Kluyveromyces lactis: one gene and its partner. The protein of the gene in region 1 interacts with the protein of each later gene in a pairwise test. Links are inferred from orthologs where the notes say so. Each region holds a gene or a part of one and is shown on either strand. Other genes may lie near its edges.

Region 1 (4,382 bases):
AATTGCATTGAGAAACAAAAAGTACCACAAAGATCCTTCACTAAGACCAACTCAAACAAATTGTGGACAGTAGAGTTAATCCAACGTCTTCTTTGGGAAAGCAAAACTTTGAAAGTGGCTGGAACAACGGTTTTACAAGCAGCCTTAGGAACAAAAACTGTTTTACGTTTGGGGAATGTTTTCAAAAGTAGTGATGATAGATATCTATCTTCACCTAATAATAATAGATTCTTCTTATGCAATGTGTCCGTAACGTTATCTGAATACCTTTCGACGATATCCGGATTCGCAAGAATAGGAACCCAAAATCCGTCTTTACCTTTCGGCGTCTTAATTCTATAAACAGAAAAACAACCTGGCAAACACGTTACGGAACCGAAAACCGATTCAAACGCCTTAGACTGATGATGAGAAATAAAATACTCAAAAACTTGGATTGCACTAACCCACGATTCACCTTTATTGGCGATTTTAGTCTCACCGCACAATCCCATGATTAATGGATCATGCACCATTTCTGAAAGCATATGAGTCAAAGAGTCTGGGAAAACCTTAGTATCTGCATCAACCATTAATACTGTTTCATAAAAATTAGCCATTAACCCTGTAATTTGCCATATATTTTTCATTAGTTGGAACTCTAAAGCCGACATTCTTTCATCAAAAGTCACTTTTTGTAGGAAAGACATCAATATAATTTGTGAATCACGCTTACCTCTGTTACCAGGCTTCGCTGAGCCTTGTTCTTCAGCTGTACCACATTTTACAATGGTGATAATTGGAACACGTTGCTGATTTTCGGCGGGTATGGTGGATTCATCGTATTTATAAAACCCAGCATATATTTTTGCCATATTATGTCTTTTTGCGCCAACTGCAATTGCAACGTAAGGATAAGCTGTAACTTGCTCCTTGGGAATCACAAAGTCTTCCATCATATCTAATACTATGTCCGGGGTGGTTCTGTCATTACCAGAACCTTTAATAATACCATCGCAGATTACAACGATTAATTTATGAGAGTTTGGATAATCTGTGGTTGCAATGGAATCTAATGTTGTTCTTAAACCTACCTCATCTTCTGAATAACAGGTGACACAGCAGAGTGAGTGAACCAATGGAAATCCATAGGGCATGAAGTCTGGGGGCGGCTGTAATACTGCATCGGGGTGAATGATCGTTGGATCTAACGATTCCATAGTCATTGAAGTACCGAAAGGATCAAGATTGTCGGAAAAAGGATTAATAGTGGAGACCGGTCTTGACTGCGAGGCGAATCCAGCATGTGCACTTTTTCTCTTCATTTCATTCATATATGCTGATTTCAGCACGGATTGTGTAGTCATTGTAGACATACCAGTACTTTCAAGGCTCTGAATGACAGGATCATTCAAGTGTACAGATTTACCCAATGATTGTTGGCTAAATCGGGATTTACGGTTGAATAAACTGATACTGGAGCTGTTTTTTTTATGATTTTTCTTCATTGGTCTTAATGATGGATCAACGGGCTTCAAAGGACCACGAGAATTGATATCTTCTGACCAATCTTCTAAGTCGTTATTATGTTTGGCGAGTTGTTTGTTGTCAACAGTGTACGCACCTTGTTTTTTTGCTACAAAGTAGTGGAAGTAGCACGCGATGAAGAATTTACAACCGACAACGGATAGAATGAATACCAAAGATAAATATAATACCACTTGAGAAGCAATACAGCCGATACTTTCTGAATCAATAACACCAACCTTAGCAAGTTCAACGAGACAACGGGCTACATTTCTTTCTCTGCTAGTGGATAAGACCAATGAAATGTCATAACCTTCTAAATTGGCTGATTTCAAGACATCAAATGTCTCTGGATATGTAAGATCGTCAGTTTCTAGCCAGTCTAAGATCCCCAAATCAATAACGTCACCATTATATACAATCAACTTTCTCGTAGAATTTTTAATATCCTCCCAGGAGAAGTATACCTCCGCCGGGGCATTAAGGGCATAGTACTGTTCCCTGGCAGTCGAGCTCGTGTGACAACCCCAGCCAGCGTAGTATTCTGACTCTGTGAAGTTAGGTTTACTTGAACCATCTTGGTTAACAAGTTTGCATGGGAAGTACCATGCCATATTTCCGTCGTCATCGAAAGGAATAGTAGAATTTTCTCTTGGTTCAATCAACCCTTTGCAGTTACCGTTAACGTTTTGGAAAAGGAAAGACGCGTCCATGCCACCAGCATTCACAGGAGGATATAGAATATTAGATCCCCCAGGGATACCAGCTGCAGCTGGATGAGAAGAAGATTCTAGAGAGTATGCCTGTCCATGAATAATTAATTGTCCTGTGGTGGCTTCATTGTTGCGCATCCTTACTTTGCCTGGAACACAGACAGTTCTTGTGAACCCGAAAGTCAGGTAAGCGACAAACGCTCCAATATAAAAGATGATTGAAATCAACCCAATTTTATCTCTCCATGCTCTTTGAACCGCTTTTGTCTTCATGCCAAACAATTTTAAAACGGAAGGAGGAATGAAGATTGTAATCAAAAAACAGTACGATTGCCATAACGAAAAGCCCACTTTGGGCTTGTTTTGATCTTTGGCCTTAGATTCTAACCTTTGTCCGATCTCTATTGGAGGAGACACGTTCTTTTCTGAATAAATACTGTTTTTCTTTTCAAACCCATCGCTACCCTCCATTACCAACCTTTCATTTGGTTCACCATATTCACCCACTGTGTTCAAAGAAGAACTTGGAAGTTTATCGTTTGACTGTACATTCAGGTCTTGCATTGGAATATCCAACGAGGACTCTTCAGGCAAAGCACCTGTTGTGGAAGGATTGATCTGAAGATGAGTTTCCTTCGCTTTTAAAGCATAATAATGGTATGGATGGTCTGGATCTTTAAAACTATTTCTTTCAGGTCTGACCAAAGAGCCTTGTCTTGAAATCTGTCTCTGAGACCGAGATTTCAACAGTGACTCGTTGTCAAATGCATAGTAATCATCAGACATGAGGGTCTAAATGATATTGTGTTCAAAATGAAGAAATCGGACAACAAAAAAAACCACAGTCGAAAATAAATAGATATATGACCTCAAATGATGGTAGAAAACAGCAGTTAATATCCGTAATGTGAAATGAATAGAACAGACAATGTTGCTATTATTTTATTGTCAATATTTTTTTTCCGAGTTTTAAGTCAATTACTATTTTTATCACAGATCAGATTCTTTAGTATTGAAACGAATGGGGACTAAATGCACCGAATGGTATGTATGCAACACTCTAACCGCACGTATGATAAAAGCAGAAAACAACAGGGTATCTTCGAAGGGAAATCTCACGATTGGTGCGCAGTCTGCAACATGTAAATATTTCAAGAATTAGACATAAACAATGACAATAATATTAATGTTCTAATGCTGATGATGGAGATGATGGTTTCTGTGTTAGCTTTTTCGAAACCTGGGATTTACTTCAGATTATATTTACCCGGATATTTCATGGGAATGGCGTCCATTCTTTTACCCGATTGGGTTAAAGGACTTGTCACGTGAGGCTACTCCTAATCAAGAATTTTCTCGGATATTCCGGAGCACAAGCGGTGCGTGTGTTCCCGGGTTCGAATCTTTAGGGGACCAGTAATATATATATATATATATATATATATATTACGATGTGTGCTGCAACAAGTTACAGAGTAAAAGAGATCGACACATGAGCCGGTGATGAGGAAAAAAGCCTGATCCAAGCAACCACGGCAAGTACCGACCTGAGATCTCGGGTATGGTGATCCTGTATATGATATGATTATCATGAACTTTTTTTCCGAATCTGATTCCGTTCTTCGAATTGGCAACTGTTTAGTTTATTTGGAACCCTATCTCGCATTTGATAACGTCGCAAAAAAAAATGGACTACCTAGATAGAATTAGGTTAAAGGCTGCAACTCGATAAGCGAGAGATATCGATAGGTTGCAAGATATTGACTATAAGACATGTTTCAAAACATAAATATATATATATGTATACTAGAGTTGGTATTCTTGTTTGTCTCCAGGTTATGATGTTCCCTTTCCTGTTCAGTATGGAGCTAGTTTGAGCTACAAACAATACATAAACATCAAAAAAGAAAACTTATGACATCTACCATTGCTCCAACAACTACAACTACAACTACTGATTCTGCGACAGGCACAATCAATCTCGTCGGCCATGTTCCTTTGCAGATTGCTCCTGGAAGATTGAACGATACAATCTTATCTACCGGCAGCGAATTTGGAGGTGTTGCCAGATGGGGTGAAGAACGTCACGAATTTGGTATGAGGAGACTTGCAGGGACCGAATTAGACGGTAAGATGAGAGATTGGTTTGTTCGTGAATGTAAA
Region 2 (3,463 bases), about 620 kb from region 1:
CATTTGATCCATCTTCTGAAAACTTGTACTATAGACATTTGCATGAAGCCTTGATATCTTTTGTGGTGTATCAATTCATTCTATATCCATTTGTGGTGCCAAAACTTAACGAATGGTTCTTCAAAGAGCATTACACAGAAAGGGATGAACCTGACAAAATTAATTTCGATATTCATACCGTGTCTATGATCCAGAGCGTTGTCTCCCTGTACTTGATCTGGCCGTTATTATGGATTCCTTTTGGATTTAATGTGGCAACTTACTACAATTCTTATGCTTCCATGGTTTCTGCCGTTAGTATTGGGTATTTCATGTGGGATCTGTATATCTGTCTGAGGTACTTCAAATTGTTCGGTATTGGATTCTTGTTCCACGCTGTGGCAGCATTCGCTGTTCTGACCATTACCTTGCACCCGGTATGCCAAGCATGGATCGGAAGATTCTTGTCATTCGAGGCCTCAACTCCGTTTGTCAACATCAATTGGTACATCATCCAATTGTCCCGTGGATCCTCGAAGCAGGTGGTTCCTACCTGGTTCAACGTATTGAATGGGTTCTTGTTGATCTCAGTATTTTTCTTCGTCAGATTGGTATGGGGGTTCGTCGCTGTTGCGATTTTGATCTACGAGATGTGGCAAGTGTGGGATCAAATCCCATTATACATGACTGCCGTTATCTTGGGTATCAACGTCTCACTAGACTTCTTGAATATCCACTGGTTCTCTAAGATGTTGAAAATTGCTAAAAAGATGGCTAATGGATCTAAAAGAGTCTCCAAAATTGATTGAGTCCTTATCGTTGTCAGATCAGATCAGATCTGCTGACTGATTGTCTGTTTCATTATATATAAAAATCAACGTACTACATAGAAATGCCCAGCACCAAAACTGGATTTATAAGAAATAAAGATCACACGGTTATGAATTCTTCGCCAGATTCACTGATCAATTGAAGTAGTCAGCTAACCTTCAGGAGTGTTCCAAAGGGATATATTTGCCCATTTGAACGTGTGTGCCTTTTATTTTCGCAGGCACTAAATTCTCATCATGACCTTTAAGTGAGCATAAAATTTGAAAATACAAAACCGCAAAGAACTGCATTGACTTGTTTGAAGAATATAGAAGGAGAGAAGGCTAGAGTACTTGGTATTATTCGAACAGTGTGCTTCTAGTGCTTCATTTCCCCTTTATTTACCAGGGCTTTACTAAGTTAGGCAAGAAACACCGTTAGGAGCTGATTATCTGGCAATTTTGATTCGAATCATTAAATATATTCCTTTCTGCTTCTTTGCATATTGAACTAAAAATAAAGGTCAATTAACACTTAGCTTCGAGAAGAAAACATAGATTGTAGGGCATTGATCACCTCATTATAGTTATATTAATGATGGGAATTGTTGACATACTTCAAGATATCCTGGATTCATCTTCCATACCATGGAAAACCATTATTACGGGGTTCACTGTGGCGCAATTTGGATTTGAAACCTATTTGACTTACCGTCAATATTTGGCTCTATCCAATAAGAATTTGCCTCCCGTGCTAGTTGGTGAAATTGATGATGAGACGTTCCAAAAATCGGAAGCTTACTCAAGAGCCAAGTCTAAGTTTTCAATTGTATCGAATGTCATTAACTTGGCTCAGAATTTGATCTTCATCAAGTTCGATATTTTACCAAAGCTATGGCACCTGGGCAACAGCTTTGCCCAATATTTCCCAAGCAGGTTCTTTCCTACTTCTACCATTGCCCAATCCTTGTACTTTTTAACCGTCATGTCCAATTTGTCCGCTTTGATGGGTCTGCCATTGAGTTATTACCAACATTTCGTCTTGGAAGAGAAGTTTGGTTTCAACAAATTGACCATTAAGTTATGGATCTCTGATATGATTAAGAGCAGTCTGCTAGGTGCTGTCATTGGTACTCCGGTATTGTACTTGTTCTTAAAGATTTTTGAAAAATTCCCATCCAATTTCTTGTGGTACATCTGTCTATTCATTCTTGTGGTTCAAATCCTTGCTTTGACTATTATCCCAGTGTTTATCATGCCATTGTTCAACAAATTCACTCCATTAGAAGATGGCGAGTTGAAGACCGAAATTGAAAACTTGGCTAAAAAGGTAGGATTTCCATTGGACAAAATTTTCATCGTGGATGGTTCCAAGAGATCTTCTCATTCTAACGCTTATTTCACGGGTCTCCCATTTACCAGTAAGCGTATTGTCTTATATGATACCTTAGTCAACGATTCTACCACCGATGAAATTGTTGCTGTTTTGGCTCATGAAATTGGTCACTGGCAAAAATCTCATTTGTTGCGGATGCTAGCCTTCAGTGAAACTCATATTTTCTTGGTATTTTCCCTCTTCACCGCTGCTTATCAAAACAAATCATTATACAACGCATTTGGATTCTTCGCCGGTTCTGGTTCCTCATCTGATATCTCCAAGGTTATTACCCCTCAATATCCAATTATCATCGGATTCCTTTTGTTCAATGACTTATTACAACCGCTAGACTGTCTTTCTACATTTTTGACAAACTTAGTCTCAAGAGCTCATGAATACCAATCTGATGCTTACGCTAAGGAATTGGGCTACGCCCCTCATTTAGCCAGAGCATTGATCAACCTTCAAATCAAGAATCTTTCTACTATGAATGTTGATCCATTATATTCAAGTTATCATTACTCTCATCCAACGTTGGCCGAAAGATTGATCGCTATCGAATACAAGAACGAGAAGAAAGACCAGTAGTTTGCAAACAAAAAAGGCATTCAATTTACTGTTTACAGATCACTAGATAAGCAGCAGTACTTATCGTTAACAAACAGAGTGCTATTTTCAAAGTTTGTATAGTAAGATTAGTCTCTGTGGTATTTTGCAGTACATAGTTTAGCATTTTTATTATTCTATATATATGCGCTTTTTAAAGCCATAATGCAAATATTGTACCTGTTTTCCTAATATAAGATGTTAATCACCTTTATCCGTAAGACAACCACATCTTTCACTGAGTCTTGCAGCATTACAGGCCGGCATTTAGGCGTTGTTGCCGTATGTCTCTTGTTCTTTTCAATATTTACGTATACAACGACTCCAGCGTCTTTATTGCCATTTGAAAGTTAACTTGGGATTCCTTTAAAAGTTCAAACGTAACAACAATCATATAAACTGTTTGCCACTCATAAAAGGGAAGGCAACAACCCGCTCTAGAGACTGCAAAACATCTGACAGAGTACTCCAGCTTGTCAATTAAAAAGATATTCGATGTCTAGTGACGCTATGGATATTGATTCGGTCCCAGAGGCCGCGGTCGATAACAATTCTAATGAGGATGCCGTTGTGGATAAACTTCTTGAAATCCTCAAGCAGGTTTCTAAGAGTACATTATCAATGGATTCACGTTACGTATGGAAATCATTGAGAGATTTTGCAGCATTAAGACATGACGTTACCGTGGAAA

Evidence for each region.
Region 2: the proteins of CHS3 (region 1) and STE24 interact in a two-hybrid assay, tested with the Saccharomyces cerevisiae proteins (2 studies listed by BioGRID, with this or other methods). The link is inferred for Kluyveromyces lactis from reciprocal best matches to the Saccharomyces cerevisiae genes CHS3 and STE24.

Annotation. Positions count from the first base shown.
Region 1 is NC_006040.1:301,772-306,153, forward strand, and holds the start of CHS3 (chitin synthase CHS3), read right to left. Parts: upstream 3,006-4,382; coding exon 1-3,005. Other genes in the region: KLLA0_D03520g (M20 family metallo-hydrolase), read left to right, coding at 4,134-4,382. UniProt on the Saccharomyces cerevisiae protein: Polymerizes chitin, a structural polymer of the cell wall and septum, by transferring the sugar moiety of UDP-GlcNAc to the non-reducing end of the growing chitin polymer.
Region 2 is NC_006040.1:924,303-927,765, reverse strand, and holds STE24 (zinc metalloprotease), read left to right. Parts: upstream 1-1,383; coding exon 1,384-2,754; downstream 2,755-3,463. Other genes in the region: TDA4 (Tda4p), read left to right, coding at 1-788; proteasome regulatory particle lid subunit RPN3, read left to right, coding at 3,268-3,463. UniProt on the Saccharomyces cerevisiae protein: Proteolytically removes the C-terminal three residues of farnesylated A-factor mating pheromone. Also acts to cleave the N-terminal extension of the pheromone. Does not act on Ras.